3 linked regions of the Neodiprion lecontei genome follow. The protein of the gene in region 3 interacts with the protein of the main gene of each other region in a pairwise test. Links are inferred from orthologs where the notes say so. Each region holds a gene or a part of one and is shown on either strand. Other genes may lie near its edges.

Evidence for each region.
Region 1: the proteins of WASH complex subunit 3 (region 3) and WASH complex subunit 1 interact in binary tests that used the Caenorhabditis elegans proteins (3 or more experiments, as listed by UniProt). The link is inferred for Neodiprion lecontei from reciprocal best matches to the Caenorhabditis elegans genes ddl-1 and ddl-2.
Region 2: the proteins of WASH complex subunit 3 (region 3) and wiskott-Aldrich syndrome protein family member 3 interact in a two-hybrid assay, tested with the Caenorhabditis elegans proteins (2 studies listed by BioGRID). The link is inferred for Neodiprion lecontei from reciprocal best matches to the Caenorhabditis elegans genes ddl-1 and wve-1.

Annotation. Positions count from the first base shown.
Region 1 is NC_060264.1:30,292,309-30,300,083, forward strand, and holds WASH complex subunit 1, read right to left. Parts: upstream 4,297-7,775; 5' UTR 4,228-4,296; coding exon 4,182-4,227; intron 4,090-4,181; exon of another isoform or gene 3,848-4,089; coding exon of another isoform or gene 3,826-3,847; intron 3,527-3,825; coding exon 3,397-3,526; intron 3,209-3,396; coding exon 2,653-3,208; intron 2,190-2,652; coding exon 1,377-2,189; 3' UTR 1,095-1,376; downstream 1-1,094. Other genes in the region: congested-like trachea protein, read left to right, coding at 1-11, 143-330; dynamin-1-like protein, read left to right, coding at 4,753-4,854, 5,835-6,399, 6,639-6,886, 6,975-7,505, 7,685-7,775. UniProt on the Caenorhabditis elegans protein: Acts as a component of the WASH core complex that functions as a nucleation-promoting factor (NPF) at the surface of endosomes, where it recruits and activates the Arp2/3 complex to induce actin polymerization, playing a key role in the fission of tubules that serve as transport intermediates during endosome sorting.
Region 2 is NC_060260.1:25,384,899-25,391,909, forward strand, and holds the start of wiskott-Aldrich syndrome protein family member 3, read left to right. Parts: upstream 1-2,797; 5' UTR 2,798-2,958; intron 2,959-7,011. Other genes in the region: sperm flagellar protein 1-like, read left to right, coding at 1-82; U6 snRNA-associated Sm-like protein LSm3, read right to left, coding at 1,235-1,417, 1,870-1,977, 2,056-2,076.
Region 3 is NC_060262.1:41,779,800-41,787,564, forward strand, and holds the start of WASH complex subunit 3, read right to left. Parts: upstream 5,160-7,765; 5' UTR 5,004-5,159; coding exon 4,953-5,003; intron 4,473-4,952; coding exon 4,308-4,472; intron 4,156-4,307; coding exon 3,875-4,155; intron 3,795-3,874; coding exon of another isoform or gene 3,776-3,794; exon of another isoform or gene 3,708-3,775; intron 3,456-3,707; coding exon 3,383-3,455; 3' UTR 3,135-3,382; coding exon of another isoform or gene 3,114-3,134; 3' UTR 2,797-3,113; coding exon of another isoform or gene 2,680-2,796; 3' UTR 2,400-2,679; coding exon of another isoform or gene 2,226-2,399; 3' UTR 1,832-2,225; coding exon of another isoform or gene 1,829-1,831; 3' UTR 1,298-1,828; intron 1,230-1,297; 3' UTR 826-1,229; intron 1-825. Other genes in the region: 60S ribosomal protein L44, read left to right, coding at 1,829-1,831, 2,226-2,399, 2,680-2,796, 3,114-3,134. UniProt on the Caenorhabditis elegans protein: Acts as a component of the WASH core complex that functions as a nucleation-promoting factor (NPF) at the surface of endosomes, where it recruits and activates the Arp2/3 complex to induce actin polymerization, playing a key role in the fission of tubules that serve as transport intermediates during endosome sorting.

The sequences.
Region 1 (7,775 bases), on a different chromosome or scaffold from region 3:
ACTGCAAACTGGTAGGTGAACGAGCCAACGAATTATGACTAAATTACTGCCATGTCCAGTGATACGCAAGCAATCGTTTATTCTTCTTCATCGTTCAACTAGGGGGTGAAGGTTTTAACGTGTGTTTCTAATTTTTCTAAAGCACCGGAAGGCACATACAAAAATGGAATTCGTTCTGTATTCACTCAACTGATGAAGGAAGAGGGACCTCGTGCACTTTACAAAGGATGTGCTCCTGTAATGCTCAGAGCATTCCCTGCAAACGCAGCTTGTTTTGCCGGCTTTGAAGTGGCGATGAATTTCCTCAATTTGGCAGCTCCGAATTTATAACGATTACTGGATCACCTATTTTCACACCCTCGTCGGTGTTATAATTTTTGAAAAACTGCCTTTACTAACTGAAGAATCTTATACAGTATATAATATTATATATATTATTAGTTAAGAATAAGTATATGAATATTGTGAAGAACTGCTCTATCGATAAGTATTACGGATATTAATCGAAATGATTTTACAATTTTATACACGCATTTTATAACCGCCATAAAGTCGGCCCAACCCCCCATTTTTAAAATCGAAACATTCTTCAGTGTGGAATGTTGTTAGCGATTGAACATTTTTATTTAACTCTTGGAAAAAAAAAAAAAATAAGTAAGTGATGTAAAAAGTGGCCAAGCACATTGCAAATTGTTTAATTTCTAAAAGTCCTGTTGCTGAGTAGATAAGCAAAATGATGACTTAAAACGTTCAAAGTTATAATATTGCATTGCTGAGCAGTGCTGAATTCTTATTAATTGATCATTGTCGTAGTTGTCATTATTGTTTCATTGAATAAGACATAGAATAGAGATTTTTCTACAATCATAGACTCCAGTAGATTGCGTGAAAGTAGAGATGGCTGGTTTTATCTAATCTAATTGCTGACAGATACTACGAATATCATGATACCAATATCGTAACCTGCCCACAAAATTAAAGATCTACAATTCTTTACGGTTAATCAATATTCAAAGTTGTTTTACTTCATTGCATATCTTACGAATAACAATGTACATTTGATATAGGATATGAAACTTATTATAGATATGCGATGAATTTTGTACCAATATTTTTATTATTGTTGACCTTTTCTTGTATCGATTTACCAATACATCAAGTACTGTAATTGTTAATACTGACCAGCTTTTAGTTGAAATTGCGTGAAATTAATTCAGAAATTACGGCTATAACAACTGATTGAATTATGTACACGACAGCAAAGAAGACATTTTCTTTTTTCTTTTTATCGTTATTGTTGGAATATATATTTTATCACTCTCTGTGTATGTTTTTATACAGCGAAAAAGGAAGTTTCAAGTAGCAATCTTAGTCTATCATTCCTCCCAATCATCGGTATCAGGTTGCGAGTCTTGTTCACTTGCGGCAGAATTTCGCTCCGAAGTAGCGGACTCGTTTGGTTTCGGAGGTGGAGGAATCATAGCGGACATTCTGCCCAATGCGCCGGTAGCTGTTCCAGAAATACCTCTACGTCTGAGTGATAATTTGTTGTGTAAATCTGCCATTAAATCGCCCCCAACGAAAGCAGAAGACCATTTATCTGTATTTTCATCCTTACGTGCTGCACTCCTTAATTTTGCTCTACCAACTCCGCCCGCGTCGCGGATAGCTGCCATTAGGCTAGACCGATTATCGACCTGATCGACATTTGGAACAGATTTAACAGACTGTGTTTTAGTGTCTTTCGTAACCGATGATGACAATTTTGGAGGTTCGACAAGTGAAGGAGGAGGCGGAGGAGGAGGAGGAGCAGGAGCAGAAGGTGGTGGTTGAGATGTCGAGATTGAAAGTGTGGAGGGATTGGGAGGAGGAGGCGGTGGTGGCCCAGGATGAGAAACGTTACCGATCTCAACCGGAGGTAGAGGTGGTGGAGGATTTTGCTCCGATGATATGCTTGGTAGGCTCAAATTTGGAAGGCTAGGTTCATTTTCTCTACTGTTTTGAGGTTCCATAGTTGCGTCGGGGGCAGAATCAGACGGAGCTGCTGGTAAGGGCAGGTTCACAGTCGGTGTTGTTACCACCGAAGATGGAGCAATTGGACTCTGACTGTGTAGGTCAAGCACAAAACGTTCGTCATCAACTATTCCTGGCAGGTCTGGGAGACTGAGAGGTACGTTTATCTGTGGAACCTGAAAACACAAATGGTATAATCGTACAATCAATTCTTCATAAACGCTGTGCTAGTTTTGAAGTTTTAAACATTGATCATGTGGTATCTATCATCAATTGAATAATACAAACTAGATCTAGTTCTCATACCAAATTTAAGTTGTTAGTGAAGTGTGAAAGTGAAAAGTAAATCTGTTTGATCTGAGCATTCAACTTCTTTGTACTCATAATTTTTTCTTTTCAAATCTAAAGTACCGAAGTGATGAGTTTACAGTATGTTTGTAATATCCACTGAAAAAATGCAGTTTCATAAGATTTGATAGTCGGTACCCTTGTATTGAAAGTAGTAGCATGTTCTAGAACAGTTACGAATTTCTTTCAAATTTCAAACCTCGATCAGTTAAAAAAATAGAGAAAATATTCAAGAAATTTTATATCTTTCAAACTAAAAGCCCTTGTTGGTATAAATCTTAAAAAACGTACTTCGCCTAACGTTGGAGCATAGAAGTAATTTGATGGAGATTCTAGATCATTGGTGTGCCATGACTGCAATATCGAAGTAGGAGCATCTTCGATTTCCCTCTTGTCATTAGCCGATGCCAGGCTTTTTGCGGGAAGTTTACCATACTGGTTGTCTTTGGCGTCGTGTAGCAGTAGCGAACTGACAGAGGTTGGTCTAACTGGAATAGCTCTAGAATGTCCAGAGCCCTTGCCTTTATTTGTTTTACTTTTGACGTGATAAAATTGCAGCTTGTCTTGTATGTTGATGTCAACGTTCCACCGCCCGTCCTTTGACTTTTCGGTGACGATATTTTGCGAGTTCAACTCCTGCGCTATGGGAACTGGGCTCTTATAGACGCTCGGCGGTTTATCCTCCTTTTTAATTGGCAGTTTTAGAGCCAGCGGATACTCTCTGTAGACATGATTCGAGGGGTATTTTGCTGCAGAGTATAGCTTCACCGCCTTCAAGCTTAGGTTATTTTGCAGGTGGTCTAATCTGCCCTGAAGTTTCACAGCGCGACCTTTTATACCGGCTAATCTGTAACAACGTATCAAAGATGAGATTTTTTAGTATATTTTCCAACCATTAGTTCTTTTCTTCTACCTTGTGAAAAATGAAAACGCTAATTAGTTATTCTTTCTTCAATCTCTGAGAGTGAAGACCAGATTTGCGCTACACAACTACATTTCATAACGAAAGAACACAAACAACTTTGTCTTGAATACCTTTTTGTATTTTCCGATAACCGCTCGTCGATACAGCTAAATATGCTTGCTACAGCAGAGTTGAGCGAATCTAATGCTTCTGCAATCTGGACTATGGTTTCCTCCTGTCGCAAATCATGCGGAATCACACCTGAAACACGATGCTGAAAATTAAAACTTGCCGAAGAGAGAATAATTATTTGTTTAAATAAATATTATTGTGACTGTTATTGTCATCTGATATTTAAAGATTAAAAATCATACGATTTCATAACGTTATCTATCCAAAGATCATAGATTATTTTGCATAACACTGTGGTCTGCGTTCGAATGAATTTGTTTAGAAATCTCATCTATCTCTCGAATCAATTAAAAACAATGCGAATGACTGATGTTTGAGTATTTATAACACGAAATGTATAAAAATTACGCCGAATGTATCATTATTACCAATTTCTATGTGCCCCTGCATTTCTCCTGATTCGATAAGGTCAATTTTTATACAAACAAACGACGATTGATTCAAATATCAATCCGACGCCGGCTCCTTCCCCCGAAAAATGTATTGACACTTAACAACAATCGCGAACCATTAACTCATCGCCATAAACTCTCTCATATCATTCGAGTTGTATTTAAATCTGGTTTAAACTACTCAAAACAAGTGCTACTGCATATCGTCTGCATAGGCGAACGACTGCCATTCTTAGTTCTGCCACTTTACGCCCATTAATTCTTTATCAGGTTAGGTTATGTTAGGTTCCGTTCCGTCCGTCAAAAACTGGCCAAAGATTGCAATTCTTTACCCAGTTTCGAATCGAATCCAAAGCGCGAGGCGGCTGAAGATCGCATGCGTAGCAAAGAGGATGAGAAAAGAAAATACGAACGCAGATTGATTTCCGTGATTATAATCGCGGCTTCGTGCAGTCTGTAATAAATTCAAATTTCAAATAACGGCCGCACTTAAAACCCATTCGCGATCCAATTCGCAATCGACCGCCTTAAGGAGAGTAAAGATGGCGGCTTGACGATTCCTGGCCGAGTGAATTCAGCCGGTGGATTAAACGGGAGTAGTGAGTTAAAAAGGGTATCGCTGGGTTAATGAGAGGTTTCGATTTCGTCGACGATCGATGCAGAAACCGCCTAGGTTTTAGTTTCTGTAAAATAAAACGATAATCCATCGATCTCTGCATACGCTCGAGCTGGATTTGTTGAAGGTGGTGTAGATGCTCGTAACTGTTGGAATCGCAGTATCCTCGATCTTCCGATTGTTCTTCAGCTTGTAATTTTCGTCGGGTGGCTAGAATTTCAGGCTCCGTTAATCTGTACAGAAATCGTGGTATTCCTCGACTACTCTTAACCTCGTCGTCGTCGATCATGGAGGCCCTCATTCCAGTGATAAATAAACTCCAAGATGTATTCAACACCGTTGGTGCTGACGCCATACAATTGCCTCAAATCGTCGTTCTCGGAACACAGGTTAATTATAATTTCACCTATACTATTGACAATGTGTCGGTACGTTTCAAACCATTGATTTAGACAGTCTCGCGTTTCTTCCTTAAAAGCCCGATCTTGCCCTCGGATCCTTGATCCTTTATCTTTGTGATCCTACTTGTCGTCGATATGACTTTTTCAGGTATTGTATTTCAAATTCGAAGAATATTATACTAAAATTATTTTACTTCACTCATTAAAATTACTATCGTTTAAAAGTTTCTATTTTTATCGATGATTTTTACTAGTTTTAGCATTTTCTTACAGTTGAATTTATTTTTTGCTGATGAGACCAGTGATGAAAGAAAACATATTTTTTTTCTTTTCCTAATGGAATCTTGCAAATCAATTCTTTGAAAACACTATTTTTTAATTTTATATCCATCTTTGGTTTCATTTTTACTCCTAAATTATTCGTCCACCTTAACGCCTACTTTCATAAAACATTTCTCCAATTTTTAGATTCTCATTGTTAGGTTACATTGCATGATCTGTGAATGACAACAAATATGAATTTTCTTAACAGGATCCAGCAAAAACTATTTTTCCAATTCAACAATCATTAAAATGAACATACAAGTGAAACTTTAAAAAAACGTTATCCCATTCCAAAATTACTTTTCTTTCATTACCACTTCCGGTATTAGTTATTTAGTGATTGCTAATGATTTTCAAAGATAAAAATTTTAATCCCTGTGCTAAACTATGAAAACACTTATTCTTGAGGTTGAGAGTTATCAGAATTGTTGATAAATTGAAATGAATCTAATTCCAGGAATAATTTTCTACTATGAATTAGAACTCCAGAAAACTGTGCAGTCACAAATAGTTTGGGAAAATGTTTATTTCTATGATGAATTACCTCTTCCAATTCCCTTGTGTTATCCATACATTATCCCATTTGAGAATGAAAAGAATATCCGACAAATGAAATGAGAATATATGTTTTCCATTGTATGCAGAGCTCCGGGAAATCGTCCGTCATAGAGAGTTTGGTAGGCCGCTCGTTTCTGCCCAGAGGGACTGGTATAGTGACTCGTAGGCCGTTGATTCTTCAGCTCGTTTATGCGCCGAAAGATGACAGGGAGCACAGAACAGCCGAAGATGGGACGCTGACCCTTGACGAGTGGGGTGTATTTTTGCACACTAAAAATAAAATATTTACAAACTTCGATGATATCAGATTGGAAATTGAGGCTGAAACGAATCGGATGGCTGGATCCAACAAGGGAATTTGTCCTGAACCGATTAATCTGAAGGTTTATTCAACCTCGGTTGTAAATCTGACACTCGTCGACTTGCCAGGGATCACCAAGGTCCCCGTTGGCGATCAGCCCGAGGATATTGAAGCGCAAATCAGAAACTTGGTTCTGAAACACATTTGCAATCCAAATTCCATAATATTGGCCGTTGTAACCGCAAACACGGACATGGCGACCAGCGAGAGCCTCAAACTCAGCAAAGACGTTGATCCCGATGGAAGGAGAACCCTCGCAGTTGTTACTAAACTGGATCTAATGGACGCTGGTAATTTGACCAACTAAATAGTAACTTTGAACTGATATCTGATGTATTGAATTTTGTGGCGACGTATTTCTTTCTATCCTTCTTTTTTCTCTCTTAAACTGGAGTTAAGTTTAAGAATTGATTTGATTAGCTAATCTTGATCTGAAAATTTGTCCCGAAGAATTATATTTTTCTTGGAATTATTTTATCATTCATTTATACAACCCTGCTTGAGAGTCGCTTGTTATTTTGGGTTTGAGGAACGGATGCGATTGATATCCTGTGCGGACGGGTGATTCCTGTGAAGCTGGGGATCATAGGAGTTGTAAATCGTTCACAGCAAGACATAATGAATAACAAGTCTATCCAGGAAGCTCTTAAGGACGAAGCTGCCTTCCTGCAACGAAAATATCCTACTTTGGCAAACAGAAACGGCACTCCTTACTTAGCAAAAACCCTCAACAGACTTTTAATGCATCATATTCGCGATTGCCTTCCCGATTTAAAGGTAAGCCTTTGCTAAATTGTTAGTCAGGAGAGCATGTAAATCTGGTCCCTTCCTTCGGCCATGTAACAATTATTTATTCAAACAACAGACACGCGTGAATGTGATGGTCTCCCAATTCCAAACACTTTTAAACTCATACGGAGAGGATGTGGGAGACAAGAGCCAGACACTGCTTCAGATAATAACCAAGTTTGCGAGCAGTTACTGTTCGACGATTGAGGGAACAGCAAGAAATATAGAGACTACCGAGCTCTGTGGAGGTGCTCGTATCTGCTACATATTTCACGAGACATTTGGACGAACACTAGATTCCATTCATCCACTGGCTGGTCTAACTAGGATGGATATTTTGACTGCAATTCGAAATGCGACGGGTCCCAGACCGGCTCTCTTTGTTCCCGAGGTCTCGTTTGAACTCCTGGTCAAGCGACAGATCAGGAGACTCGAAGAGCCTTCGCTACGCTGCGTCGAACTAGTTCACGAAGAGATGCAGAGAATCATTCAACACTGCGGCACCGAAGTTCAGCAAGAAATGCTTCGTTTTCCAAAACTACACGAACGGATCGTCGACGTTGTTACGCATCTTCTACGCCGACGATTACCGACAACTAATTCTATGGTGAAGATATTTCAAATACATTACACGCAACTTTGGTCTGCGTTTTGTGAAAATGGAGCATTGACATCGATTTCACTTAGACTTGCCTGAACGGTTTACCTTATTTGTAATGACGTTGCGACTAGTTTTTCGCTTATTTCGGCACTTGTTATAATTAACCAAGAGAATCTGTTTACAAGGTGGAGAATTTGGTCGCTATCGAGCTTGCTTACATCAATACCAAACATCCAGATTTTCACAAAGATGCGGCACTAGTCTCTTCGTTATTAA
Region 2 (7,011 bases), on a different chromosome or scaffold from region 3:
TCACGAAGAAAATGGCAGAGGTGGTAAGAACAGAGACGCTGATAGACTGGGAGGTAGAACAGACTGGATATCGCAAGCATAACTTTTCAGGCCTCGCAAAATTGCAACTTAGTTCAATCATTGAACCGCGAATTGAACCAAATTGCATGGTCTGATAAAAATATGATTTTAAATTCTAATTTTCAATTTTTTCAATCAATTATCTACTGAACAACAATACTTTTTAATACTTTTCACCCGTGCATCTGCGTAATCAAGATTTATACACTTGAGGTGACGTTTGTTCAAACTTTAAAAAAAATAGACAAACGATTTGGAGAAATATCTAATTTAACAATTTGTTATATAGAGACGGTGAGATCTTTGCTCAATCCAGATGAGATTGCGAACAGGACTGTTCCTCGTCAGGTTTTTACAAAACTGAAAACGGAGCTACAAGAGAAGAACGAAACGATACATAGTCTGAACCACAAAGTCTCGCATCTCGAAAGTTTGATGAAGCTAAAAGATCAGAGAATTTCCGATTTGACGGCGCAAATAATAAACCCACAGGAGTCATCGATCAGTAGTAAATCACATCTCTTAGGCTCTGGCTTACCAAAAAGTCGGAACAGCAAAGTGTAGGCTGATACCCTACAAGTTTGTATAGAGTCTGTTGAATCCGTGTCTACAAATCGCTGTAATATGATAATCTGCTTGTAGTTTGCGGGATTTCATTGAGAAATATACTATCGAACTTGCAAATTATGTCTTGCGGTATTAGAATCAAGTAACTGCACCAGGCAACAATGAATTCATTCAATCTGCATGTAACATTTCGAAACTAAAAGCATTTTGCCTCATGAATTATTTACTCCAATTGTGTGTAATGTGAGCTAATATATTTTGCGTTTTAAATAATCGTGAATAATTTGATGTTCGTATTGAATGAGGAGTCGACAAGTATCAAGTGAGTAATATTCCTAATTTTTTAAATCAATTTCATTGCTTCATAAAATTAGACTGAAGTAGATTGAATTTTGGCTGATAATCAGTTAAGCTTCAGCATAATACAAAAATTTTTTAATATCTATTTCGAAAGAAGGACAGCGTGCCTAAGTTTTTTTCCATTCTTCACGTTTTCATACACAAAGTTCATTTTATTTGCATCAATTATTGCCTGTAATAGTAGCATAAGCTTATCCAGTGATTATTTGTTTTTAAATTATTTTAGAGTTAATTACGTCAGTAGGGATTAGATTGGCGCCCTCATGCTTGGCGGAGATACCAGAATGACACCGTCGCCACGAACAAACAACATTGGAATATTTCTTTTAGTCGTTCTGTAAACTTCCTCGTAGGTTTCTTCGTCTATCTCAACGGTTGTTACAGTTTCCTCTGCCTCACCCAGAACCATATTTAAATGTTGATCATAGGCCTGAAATTAAAATGATTAACCACCATTTGTTCAATGAATCAATTCTCATTTAAATAGATCGTAGGTCAGGTAATTGTATCAAAATATGAGTTATTATTGTTTACTTAAAATTTCCAATATTGGGAGCAGTGCTGACATTCTATCTTATGTTGTGAAGAAATAGAATGTGGATCGCAAAATTTTATCACAATAATGCAACTTGTTTGATTTTTATTATTTGACGAGGACCGATGGTTCTTGAAAATAACGATTGTCACTAACTTTATGTTAGCAAATCGTTATAACTTAATAAGAATAATAATACTGCAAATAGCAACTATTATTCTGCTCGCCTAACTGAAGTGCCGCTGTTATCTATCAATCAGTGTTAGAGAATCGCACTCCTAATAAGCGCTTGGTATGCATCGACACAGTACTAATTTGACAAAATAAGATTCCTAAAACAGAATTACGTGTAGTCTTCCTCTGAGTTCCCTTTCGTTTCTCATTTTGACGTAAATTCGTTCGTCCAAGCTGAGTCTGATTAGATCTAACGGTTCCTTAACGTTGATGGCAGGAACCTGTATTGAAGACCGACAAAATTTTAGGTTAGTTGAGGTTAGGGATTGAATTATCTTAACAAAAATAAAATGCGTTACCTGCTCTGCATCATCGGCCATGACGTGTTGATAATCCCGTCACAAATTACAATGAAAATGTTGACTCGTCAATTATTTTCTGAAAACTAACAAACGTCACTTTACGACGCGACAGAAATTTAACCGACTTCGTTTCACTAACAATTGAATATCGATCTCGATCAAAACCTCGATTGTAGCCGACCTATGAATTCACTCGCGCTCAACACTCGAAGAACGGTAGTGTCGGTATTGACTTCACATACTTATCCAGCCCGGACATGAGGCGTTGATTTAAATCTGAATACTTTATTCTTTAACGTTGCCGCAAAGTTACAAAATAAGGCACCCAGATCTTTAGAATCCTTTTCCAAAACCATCGCATTATTTACAATTACATTGAAATGAAACAAATGCATTCTCGTCAATACTCCCAACTCAAAAATTATCAGCGTCCCCCTTTCGGCGACCTAACCTAATAGTGAAGTCATAAAAACTGCCAACGGTGCAACTTCTCTATAATTATACACACCGGACTAATTCCAAGGGCAATTTTTGCTTCCAATTGTGCGTACACCAATTGCCATCGAGTTTCTGCTGGAACGGACCAATCAGCTACTCGGTTAACCGAAACAGACGAACCTCGGAAATAAACTGCAGACGCGCATCTCCTCGATACGTAAGTACGTGTTCGAGTAGTAAGTAGTTCGCAATGTGACCACCCCTTCGAGGCGGCGAGCGGCGCTCGAGTAGCAGAATCGAGTCGGTCGTGTCACTGGCAAGTGAGTAACGCCATTTTCTGTGTTTGCGGATAGATATTACGGGCGATAAAGTGACACATTAGGTGTATCGGAGGTTAATTTGTCGGGTGTTTCGAGTGTCGGTGAAATGTTTGGATACCTGGAAAGACGCGGAGCAGATATGGTGAGTGATATAGACGTCAACCCGACAATAAATGCCTGACATCTTGCCACCGTCTGATGTTGGCCGCAGGTTCGAGCTGGGATGGGTCGTTCGGAGTATCGCACGGTATCATGTGATTGTTGTTTGACAGCACGCTCCAAGGGTCGCTCCTTGCCTTTCCGAACCTCCCATCAAAGTTACGCGCCGTTGTGATTAAACCGATCAATTTTACGCCCCGCCAATGGCCGTGGCGCTGAACCTTGTCACGGGAAAAGGTCGAGGGCGGCACATGGCAGTTGGGGCGCCGGCTATGCGGGGGGTGGTTTTCTTTTGTATCCAAAAACCGACTCCAACTCGGAACGGTGAGAATCCCGCCTCAATAAATTGCTCCCAGCAGAGTGTAGGAATGCAAACGGCGATGTATCAGGACTAATGTCCAAACGGCAATCGGCACATATTAACTGTTGGTATCTCAGTTTGTCAACCGGAACTAGCGTGAGATCTAACTTCGGATAGATAACTGAATACACGCTCGTCGAGCGTCTCTTGTTCGTTGCTGGAGAAGCGTAACTCAAAACGCTTGTGTAATCTTAATCTTCCTACTCGTTCGAATTCCTCATTAGATTCGTCGATTTTCATATGTCTTGAGGTCGGGAGAACATTCCTTCACAGAGTAGAATGCTAAGGTAAATAATGATCCGCCTTTCTTTTCCGGCTATAACTGCACCGGCATAACTCGTGACAAAACGTGTGTAACTTGTGTCGGGTGGACTCAGCTTGCGGCTCGACAAACATCAACTGCATTACATAATCCACTTTTACATCCGCGCTACGAAACGAACTTACAACCGCTGTTCTTGTTTGGCTTTGTACGATTCTCACGCCGCGTTACAAAAGCTCGGACAATCGATTCTCGGATTTCAGTTGCGCGTAACAATTAGTTTCCGAGTAAGCGATTCGAATTCCTGCATCAAGAATCTCGGAATTTACACCTGAATACACGCTACACACGTGCTGCGACAACTGGCGCAGGTATTTGATTATTCCGTATGATTATATACCGCATTCGCTTATTCACCACACGCACCGCTACTTACCTGCTATGCCTGAATGGTGAATAATAACGGAGGTGCGTAATACAGTCGGCAGAAAGCGCATCGTCACTTATCTCGGCTCGGTTCGTCAATAAAATATGCATGTGTGTACATACGGCGCGTAAAAGCGAGAACGAAACCCGAAGTATAAAGAGCGCCAACGGGACTGATAAGATAAGATACTTGCCCAGAGCGACGATGATATCTCGTATTTCACTCTGTCTCTCTTCGTTTAATTTAAATTCAGGGTTCGTACGCACAGAGAAAACTGGAAAAACTGGCAAAAGTCAGGGAATTCTGTAAATTTACAATCCTGGAATTTGTGTCTTTAAAAAATGTCCTTGGCACGTTTTTATAGGTTCGCGTAAATGGAGCTGTAAGTGTTACGTTAATTGAATAAAAAAAAGTATAATATTACTTGTTTGTAACAAATGCTTTCTTCTGATTTTCTTTTCTTTCATTCGTTTCTAAGAAAATTAGAGCCTGTAGTTAGGAAATAGATTTGAGTATAAAGTTGACAGTTTAACGATGTTAAAGGTAATGTTATTTATTGAAAAATTTGCCACTCTTAAGTGATTTATCAGTGAGAAAATCGTATTTATTTGGCTGGAATAGCTGGAAAAATTGGGACGAACCAAACCTGATATCATATTCATTCCGATGGTAAAATTTTATCCTGTATCCAGGTATCCGTTGTTGACCATTCGGCGCCTGCGCGTTCACCTTGAACGAACCGATTGCGAGGGAGTCGAAATTGACTCCCAGGTTCGTCACTGCCTGCTGGTTAATCCCGGATTATGTGTACCTCTCCAATTCCATCAGGCAAAATTCCCGGTCAGCTTGATTTTTGACGATTACAGATCGCCGGAGTAATCGTCGTCCGTCAAGTTGAAAACTATCGTTATAATTTAACAACCATAGAATTTTCCGAAATTCAATCAGCCCTGCTTATATTTTCCTTTCCTCCTTTTTTTTCCGTCGCAAAGTTAACTTCAGTTTATTTCAGAATCCGGAAATAGTGATTTTCTCCTGCACCGATTCGTTACATGTGTACATAATTAATTGTCAGCTAGGATGATAAGAGCTGATCTTTTGGCCATTGCGTAATTCTAATTCTTTTCTACGAAACGAACGATTTTTTTTACCACGACAAATTTGTCGAATATTCTCCAAATCAGGCTGCATGGTGTTAAATAATTGATGAAAAAACTTGTTTGGCCAATTCTTTACACACCAATTTGTCGCTTTCATACGTCACAGACACGCGCTTGTACGATTACAATTAACGACACACCGCGGAGATACAAAAACTTTTGACTCGTTAGACATACGTAAACAGGTAGCAGAGTTCTTGAACATGCATTTGAATAATTAAGCGATTAGTCTCGAGTGTTATTGACTCAAGATAGGCACTGCCGTCGTACCCACGTGTAGTCTACAAATTGTACACGTATTCATTAACGATAAGCTGTTCTATTTCTGTTAAAAAAATGCAGCTATGCTTCTCAGCTTCGAACTGAGATTGTTCGTTAATTTTCAGGACTTTATTATTACACTATGCGACAATGTTGTCGCTGATTTTTTTTTTTTTCTCAATTTTTCGCACGCGATCAGTTCTTCCAGATTTATAAATTTTCAAAATTCCGTGATTTTGAAACAAGGAAAAACTTTTGATCAATTTTTTTTGTCTCGGGAATAGATCTTTGTATCGATCGTTTTAGATCCAACTTCTTGAAGAATAAAGACTGTTCGTAATTTAGTTTCCTTTTACTACCGGCATATTGGGGTCAGCTGTATTATCTGCATGAATATTTTATGAACTGCATATAAAAAAATTTATTTATAGTAGCGGATGCCCGCGTGGTAAATATATTTTCATTTGATAAAACGATTCGTTATCTGCATTATATACTATATTATACTCCAGTCATACATTCACAGAGCGCTAAAACTTTTCCACCAGTATCGATTATAAAAACTTCACAAAAATTATCTGTAATCAGTATGTATTTTTTAAAAAAAAACCACCAACAACATTCATTTTTTGGACATCTAGTTGAAAATTTTACTAACAAATTACCTACGAGCAGTGCGCATTGACGTCACGACGCATCCGCATTGCGTTTAAGATACTTTAGTAGTGATACGAAGATGTTTAATAAACTCGAAGCGATTATCTTGACAAATTGAGAATGATTCTTTTTCTTTACTTTTTCTCGCAAGACGTTTAATTCTTTATCGCAAACTCTACGGCGCTACGAATAATTTATCGTTTACAAGGGGTTAGCGTGACAGCGTGTACATAATTCGCGACAACCCGGCCATGTCTTAATTGCTAATCAGCAACGAGGTGTGACACGAAAGCCTCGCGTGATGATTTAATTATCTTCTTCAAACACCGAGTCTTCGTTACTCGTGTAACCCGTGTGTTATTATTTTTCAGTTTACCAATTATTATCGAATAAACTTCAGCTTGAATTGCATAAATCTTACCCAACCAAATTAAAGAGTGATGTATATGCGTTGCATATAGGTATTCATTATATATACTCATGTCGCGTGTCTTAGGTAAATCTGGAACTTTTTTAACTGCCTCTTGTATCGTCTTTTTTTACGTGTCACTTGTACATCATCGTTCTCGTCAGCATTGATTCTTCATTGTACAACCTCCGGAAAGAAACTAGACCGTAATGTAATTTTTATATGATCTACTATTTTTCACTCTTCTTCGTTGTGGTAAGATTACTTTTCACAAGACGTTACGAAAATGCGTTTATTTACTTTTATAATATGAAATTTAACCCTTTGAGTCACACATTGTTGTGCTGAGTCGACTTTTGTAACACGACAGTATTCTACGATTTTTGGAGCTGCTGATTACGAACCTGAAATCAGATTTTGAAAATTCGAAAAAAGATAGTGGGTCCAATATGGCGGGCGAAAGATTCGAATTTGATCAAACTCGGTCAAAAAACTCTAT
Region 3 (7,765 bases):
GCTTTTATAATGCACAAATGTGAGAATTAATGTCTCGGTCAAGGGGGCGACAGCGTAGGTAAGGAAAAATAAAGATCGTTGCAACAGGAAGAGAGAAGCGAAGCGGACAGAGGAGGGAAAGAAGTCGAGTATGTGACGAGACGCGCCGGCCGGCATCTCTCACATGGCTATCGTCGTCATCAGCGCGTTGTAAACTACAATTCTACACAACTATTACTACTAATAGAAGCGTTATGTAGTTGGGTGAAATTTTTCATTACACACCAACAATGTGTGTGTAGCATCACGGGGTGACACGTATGTACACGCCGCTACGCGCATAGAGAGAGACGCTTAATACACACACGAGCGAGCGATACGCATATCGCACACAACGACGCGCGCGCGAAAGGTTCACCTACTTTTCGGAGCGAAATAGGTAGCTGCGTGTGTGTAGATGTGTACGTGTGTGCGCGCGTGCGTACGTGTGTGTGTGTGTAGTGTACAAATGTCCTCGGTTTGGCGACATATTTGATCCACGCGCGTGTTCAATTGCATGCATCACGGCGGAGCTATAGTCACGCCGCGCAGGGAGATATGGAAAATATATGGAAAAATTACGGGATTGGCACGCGGTTGTGGCGGGGATAGCGGCAAACCCCGAGCCGAGATGAAGTATTGAGGGAAAAATTTTGCAATTACGGAGCGTCCGCGTCGAGAGCGTAGATTAATTGTTGTTATGATGCTTTCGAAGCTTCGCCGATCCACCGTACTAGCTCACGTACATACATACATCTACATACTTATACGTTTAATACACAAACAGAGGGGTAGCACACAACTTACCTCGGCCGGCCTTTTCGTTCCCTTGATTTCGCATTTCGCGTCATCTGAGGTTTTTTCGTTATCAATCGCCTTCTCGACGGCAACGTCGTTATTCTCCTTGGTACTCATGACGACGGTGGTTTTTTTTTCTAATTTGGTAATTGTTAAAACGTAAGAAACTTGTGTGTCTTCGATGCCTCGATTTCGGCGTGGGACACGACACAACGACGGCGGCGTCGGTTTCCGGCGAGTGCACGAAACGCTTACGAAAGCGGAGGACTAGCGGACCTCGGAGCGGACTGAAGCGGACTACTTCACTCACTCGGCGTACCGTCCAACCTGGCTTTGTTCAAAAATGAAGATGGCGCGGGTTTGAAGCTCGATAAATCCCTGATTGGTCGATCTCTCTTCAGGCCTCGCCGCACCTGAAATGCACCGATTAATAAAGTGAATAAATTTTAACATTTCATGAGTAATTATTCAACCTTTATACCTTGCAATCAATATCTATATTGAATAAATAAAATTATTCACTTCCGCGGACGAGGGGTTTGAGAGTACGAAGCGTACTTCGGAGCCCTGGTTCGAGGCTTTGTCGCTTGATTCAAACTGGCTTTAGCGCTGCAATTCGTCGATCAAATTGTTACTCAAATTACGTCCAAAAAAGTTTTTTAACGGTATCTAAAATTCTATTTCGTAAAATAACTAAGCGGAAATAATTCAATCCTGTTAAACTTCCTGACGAGAAAAAGCCGGCTTACCTACCAAATATACGTGGGTATCGCAGCGGCACGTGATACTCTTACTCGACAGTGAATAACGTAGAGAAAAAGATTCCTATTTTATTCGTCATCGGTTCCTTGCTCGAGATATTGATCGAAAGAAGTATCGGAGGTTGAAGAGATCAGAAAACGGTGGAATATATTGGTATTAAACTCATGCGGACAAGTCTACGCAAGCGTACCGCGCAGCTAACAGGCATTTCCGGCCTGCCTCCGCTTCCTTTTTCTTCTAAACAACCAAGATGGTAGGTGAATTGTGTTTTATTTTGTGGAGTTTCATCCATCAGCATCGACTTGCAAAACGAATAGATTGATTTTCTTAATGGAATCATATCATGATCAAACCACCCGAGCACTATATTTCAATTGATATTTCTCTTCAATCGCCAGTTCGCGATCTCGTTCGAAGGGACGACATGACAGACGGTCAACATAACCTCGAAATCCCCTACTGATACTAATAAATCTTAATACGTTGTTAAAAAATCAGTTACCGACGTGGGGACTAGATAAGACGGACAATTCCAAAAATTTCATGTATTGCGCGAGGTTTTTACTGCACGTGAACATCTCATGGGGCTCTTCTGCCTGCATTTCACACAGATACCTGCATCCTGAGCTTAACAACTTTCGTTACAGGTGAACGTACCCAAACAGAGGCGCACGTTCTGCAAGAAGTGCAAGGTCCACAAGCCGCACAAAGTCACCCAATATAAGAAAAGCAAGGAAAGGCATGCGTCTCAGGGCCGAAGACGTTATGATCGTAAGCAACAAGGTTTCGGAGGTCAAACGAAGCCCATTTTCAGAAAGAAGGTACGTATTCTTATTCCATATTACTCGCTAACTTTAATTGCTCATTTGATATTTTACCACAGTTTTTTTTTTTCAAATTTAAGGTAGCTTAAAAATTCTAAAACTTTCCTAAAAAATTCTAATAAAAAAAGTGAGTAATTTTTTTTTTAACTGATGGGAACATTGGTTTTTCATTCATTTCTGGAGTTGTCATGCTTGAAGCTTCTACAGAACTGGACTAACTGATCAGTATGTCATAACCCAGAGAGCATTTTATTGATTGACGTTATTTTCCTTGCAGGCTAAGACAACCAAGAAAATTGTGCTAAGGATGGAATGCACTGAGTGCAAGTACAGAAAGCAAATCCCACTTAAACGTTGCAAACATTTCGAGCTGGGAGGTGATAAGAAGAGGAAGGTGGGTTTTTCAAAACCTAGTGCATCTAGATCGTTTTATATTCGGTGCTGAGATGTGTGGAAATTGATTCCAAACAGTTCAAACTTGTTTAAGTCTTTGTGCCATTTAAATAATCTGAAACAAGTCTCGAAATTCCATATGGTGATATTTCAAAAGCGATTGAAACATTTATCGATATTAGTCTGATGAGAGTTTGAGATATTTGTCCCTAGGAATTTTACCCACAACTAACGCACCTAAACCGAATGGAAGTAACACGCATAAAAATTAATTTAAACCAGTAACCAATTGCAGAATATTTTGTTTTCTATTTACAGGGCCAGATGATCCAGTTCTAAACCTTGCGTTTAAGATTGTAACTATACAAACAAAAAAATAAAATAAATCGTTCAAGATTTGAAATGTGTTTATTTACTAAATGGTTATATCAAACAACAATGCATATATTACGTTTTCTTTTCTTTTCTATCAACTGGGTCTGTCAAAATTTTTCCAACATGACAAATATTTTACTTCGTGAGCGCTGTGAATACTCTTTGTACCTTACTGTTTCATATGCATACTTCCTTTACTCTTCAGTTTATTATCAAGCATCATCCTCATCAGTAGTTGTATTTGTCTCAACTATTTCCGTTATTGGAACCAACTGATCAGGATTGCTGTTTGAACATCAAAGTGTGTTAAATTCTTTGTCACATATTCTGTGAATGTAGTCTTATATTCAGTATATCTTGAAACAAGACACATTTTCGAAATTCTATTCGCATCCGTAATACCTAATAAAACTATTCAAAAAGGTAATTTGAAGTAATTTTGGAACGAATATGCCGATTCCAAAATATCTGCATTTATATTCTTGAAGAAACATAAGAGATTACATGAAAGATCTTGAATAAATATTATATACTGACACAAACTGAAAAGAAGGCTACAGCAGGTCTATGAAGATTGTTTGACATTTTTGTAACAGCATTTCAGCCTATCCCAGTACATAGCCCCTTTCAAATTTTAAAACAAATTCATGTATAAATAGTCTAAATATTAAATGTTAGAAGAGTTATTTTCTGGAAATACTCACTCTAGCAAAAGTGGATCTAGACCCTCTTGTTTCATTTTCAATTTGACAGCCTGCGCAGGTACGCCAAACTGAAGCATTTTAAAGAATTTTGCATATCGTGGATCTTTACTGATGGGTTGCGTGTTACTAATTTCACTTTTTTCATCAATCAACTCAGCTTTCACCGCTTCAATCTCATTTGTCTGGTCTTGTTCCACCGTTTTCTGTTCTTGATCACTTGATTCAGTGATTGGTGAAGACTCTGTCTTTGTTGGAAAGTCAATCTCTGGTATCGACGCGAGCTGATAAAAAAGCACAGCGTCTCATTTTAATTATTCACATACATATTAAATGAAGAAAAAGTGCAAAGTCGACTTAACACTTGCGAATAGTCCCTCTGCTGTAATGTGTGATGCTGAATAAACATGTTAAGATAATTAGTAGTTTTGCTTACCCTAGATTCAAGGATTCCTAGCGACGCTTCAACTTTTTGCAATTTATTTTCAAACTCAAACAGTTTTTCCTCGCAGGATAGAGCGAACTTGTTCAAAAATGTTACTGTATGTACAATAAAATGATTAACGAACGTTATAGTTCTTTTTTGATGAATCGGCGGGACCTAAAAATAAATGTTATTCTATACGTTAGAGACTCAAAATCCAACTACACAAATTTTCGATTTCTGTTAATCTGTACAGGATGGACGCATTAAATGTTAATAATCTATTTACGTCAGCTAAAACTTTTAGACCTTACAGGTCATATGAACTTTGTTTCTGATATTTACACCATGTGTACCCAGATCAGTCCAGATCCAAGTAACTGGCAGACCCAAAATTTAGTTTCGTTGCGCTCATGACTACACATAGAAAACTAATTCTAATTGGCTGCCGAGTAATTAATAGAAGTCGGACGAGCATAGAAATTGTTGGTAGGTATAGAATCAGAAACGCGATTATCGTAGATGATTTTACGATTGATATGTAAACTAATAAAAATTTGAACTGTAGATACGAAAATTGGTGACATGGGAACCGGGGGACGAACGATATCGTGTTGTACCTTGTACGAAGGACTAATTAGGATAAAATTAACTAACCTTAGTAAAGTCAACGGTAGGTTCGATCATCGGAATCCCATAATCGTTCATGTTGCACAGTTTGCTAAGAAGAGAGTGAAATATTGTACAATGTAACCTAGAGTCTCCTAAAGTGACGACTTCTGATGGTCAACTGATTTCTGACATTTCTCCATTTGACGTACGATTTGACGTTTCGTTCCGAGGGACCCTCTAGCAGACACTGACAGAGTCACCCACGCTTGATGACAAATTTACGCGCTGAATTTGAGTAGAGTACATAACCAAGATTCACTCTTTGCGCGCTAACCCTAATAATGCACGTTGCCTGAAGAATATTCTTCAGTCAACGTAATACATCAACCAACACATTGAATTCGTTTTTAACACACAATGAATGGAATTCGAAACGGCGGATTTTGTTATCATAACCACCTCCGCGGTGTTAGTCGAAAGAATACACCGCACATTTCCCACCGCACAAAACAAATACCCAAATACATCAACATATCTACGTACGACTATTTTTGCACATTTCCTAATTGACTATGACAAAGTTATAGTGTTTGAAGGTGCAGAAAGTGCAGTTCAACTTTTCTCTTCAATCGGCTCGACTCATTGTACCTTTATTGTTAAAAACGCTTCTGTACCACAAAATCTAATTGACAATTATCGTCGATATTAATGCATTATACGTATAATATAGTTGTGTGTATAACTTATAAAACTACAATAGATTGTTCTTAATCCCTATAAACTTCCGCATAAACTAAATTTGCATGCTTGAAATATCACAGACATATTATGATACATGTGCAGTGTTCTTTGATGCTCTTCTAACCGGATTTAATTGTGCTTGTCAAATAATATACACTGTAACCGGATATTTTTATATTTGAGGGTATAAACAATATAACGATAATTGGTTACCCTACGGCGCAGTCGCTAACCTAAATAATTAGATAGAGAGAGATACTAAGGGAGAAAGATACAATTGTTGGGCGCCAGACGCACATGCGTCAAAAATAGATAATTAGAGAAAAAGACAACGATAAAGATAAAGGTAATAGATAAAGGTAAGGTCAGGTTCTACGACGGTTTTGCACAGTTCGCTCAGAGAGACAAGATAATGGTAGAGGGGCGGAGTCGAATCCAATAGATAAAATAAGAAACAGGTGAAGCAGGAATAATATCAAATATATTAAACAAGAAGCGATAAGTTTACTGACAAGCAAGTAGCGGAAGAGTTTGCGATACAAATACGATATATGCGATAATTAACAATAGTTACAGCCAGAGAAAGGTTAAGCGAGAGAGTTAACAATTAACGGAACGTTTTCCGAATAAGCGGGAAATATGAGCAAGCTCGCGATATTAAAGGTAATGATTAACACGGTTCTATGACAGGTAGGCAGAACAGAAGAGATACACTGTACTTAAATTAAGCGGTAAGCAAATAAATCATAAAATGTGAGAAGCGATTATAACTCATGCGAAATACAACAATTGAAATAGTTATCACATTACCAGAATGATCAGAAATAGGCAGACAGGGAATTATGAATTACAAGGTAAATTCAAGCGATAGGTCAAATAGAAAATTATTATAAAATATAGAGAATAAAAGATAATACGTAGTCTCTGGTTTGCGGTAAGTGCGAGAGAAAGAAAGATAATAATCGGTACGATAAAAGGTAATTCAAGATAAGGCAAACAATATTCAAGGTAATTAATATGCCACGTACGGCAAACCCAATAGACTACGGACAACTACGATCAGCGATATAAGCGAAGAAAATAGTGAAAAAGATGTTATGCGATATGGCACAATACTCCAATGTCAAATGAACGACGAACGGGACCGCGCAGCGATATAAGATCGCTCCCGCGGTACTCTCACTAAGATGCGATAATCAACGATAATAGATAAAGAGACAGATAGAAACTAATCAGAGAAAATATAACAAAATAGTAATGCTCAGTAGCTAAGATAAAAATTGATCCTTTAACGGAACGCGCTGCTAGACAGCGATATTAGACATTCAAATATTCTAAAAGAGAAAGATAATAAGATAAAGCGATAGTCACTACAATGCGTAAGTAATAATCAACCAGTCGCGAAGTTACTTGCAATAAGACAGAGAAAGGGACAAGATAAGAGATAATAAGGTACGAGCCCAGGTGGCTCAAGCAGACCAACTGCAAGGTAAAGAGAAAAGATACGAGCCCAATTGGCTCAAGCAGACCAACTGCAAGGTAAAGAGAGAAAGAGATAAAGGTAAAGGTACGATATATTGCAAGTAATCTCGTGGCTTCACAAAATAGCAAAGGAACCTCACTTACGTAAAAGAAGATATAGTAGATACTACAGGATGCGGTACACTAGCGATAAACTTAATACAATGATAGCCAAAAAAAAAACTCTATTACAGATATCGAGAACACGTCTTTCTTAATTGACAACTGAACGTAGAGTAATGAGATGAGCGATGATCCTGATTTTCATCGAGCTGGTGTCACGTGATTCTTCCCAAAATTTGCGGTATCTTAATTGGACCAGCTGGTCCCGTGGCCTGGTCCACGGATAGGCGGCGATAATCCCTCGCCGTTTGATGTTCTTTTCCCTCGACGACGGGTATCGAGGTATCAGGACGTCGGAAGGTGGTTAGAGATGTTTTCCTGCAGCTATGCGGTATCGTTGGTGAGAAGGGGGTGGGGTCGTACTGCTCAGGTATTGCGATATTGATGTGTGCGGCAATGTTACGTCACCGGTCTCCTGGACTTGCGACAGACTGTAACTCACTCCTTGTTTTACTGGTACTCCCCGTTGTAGC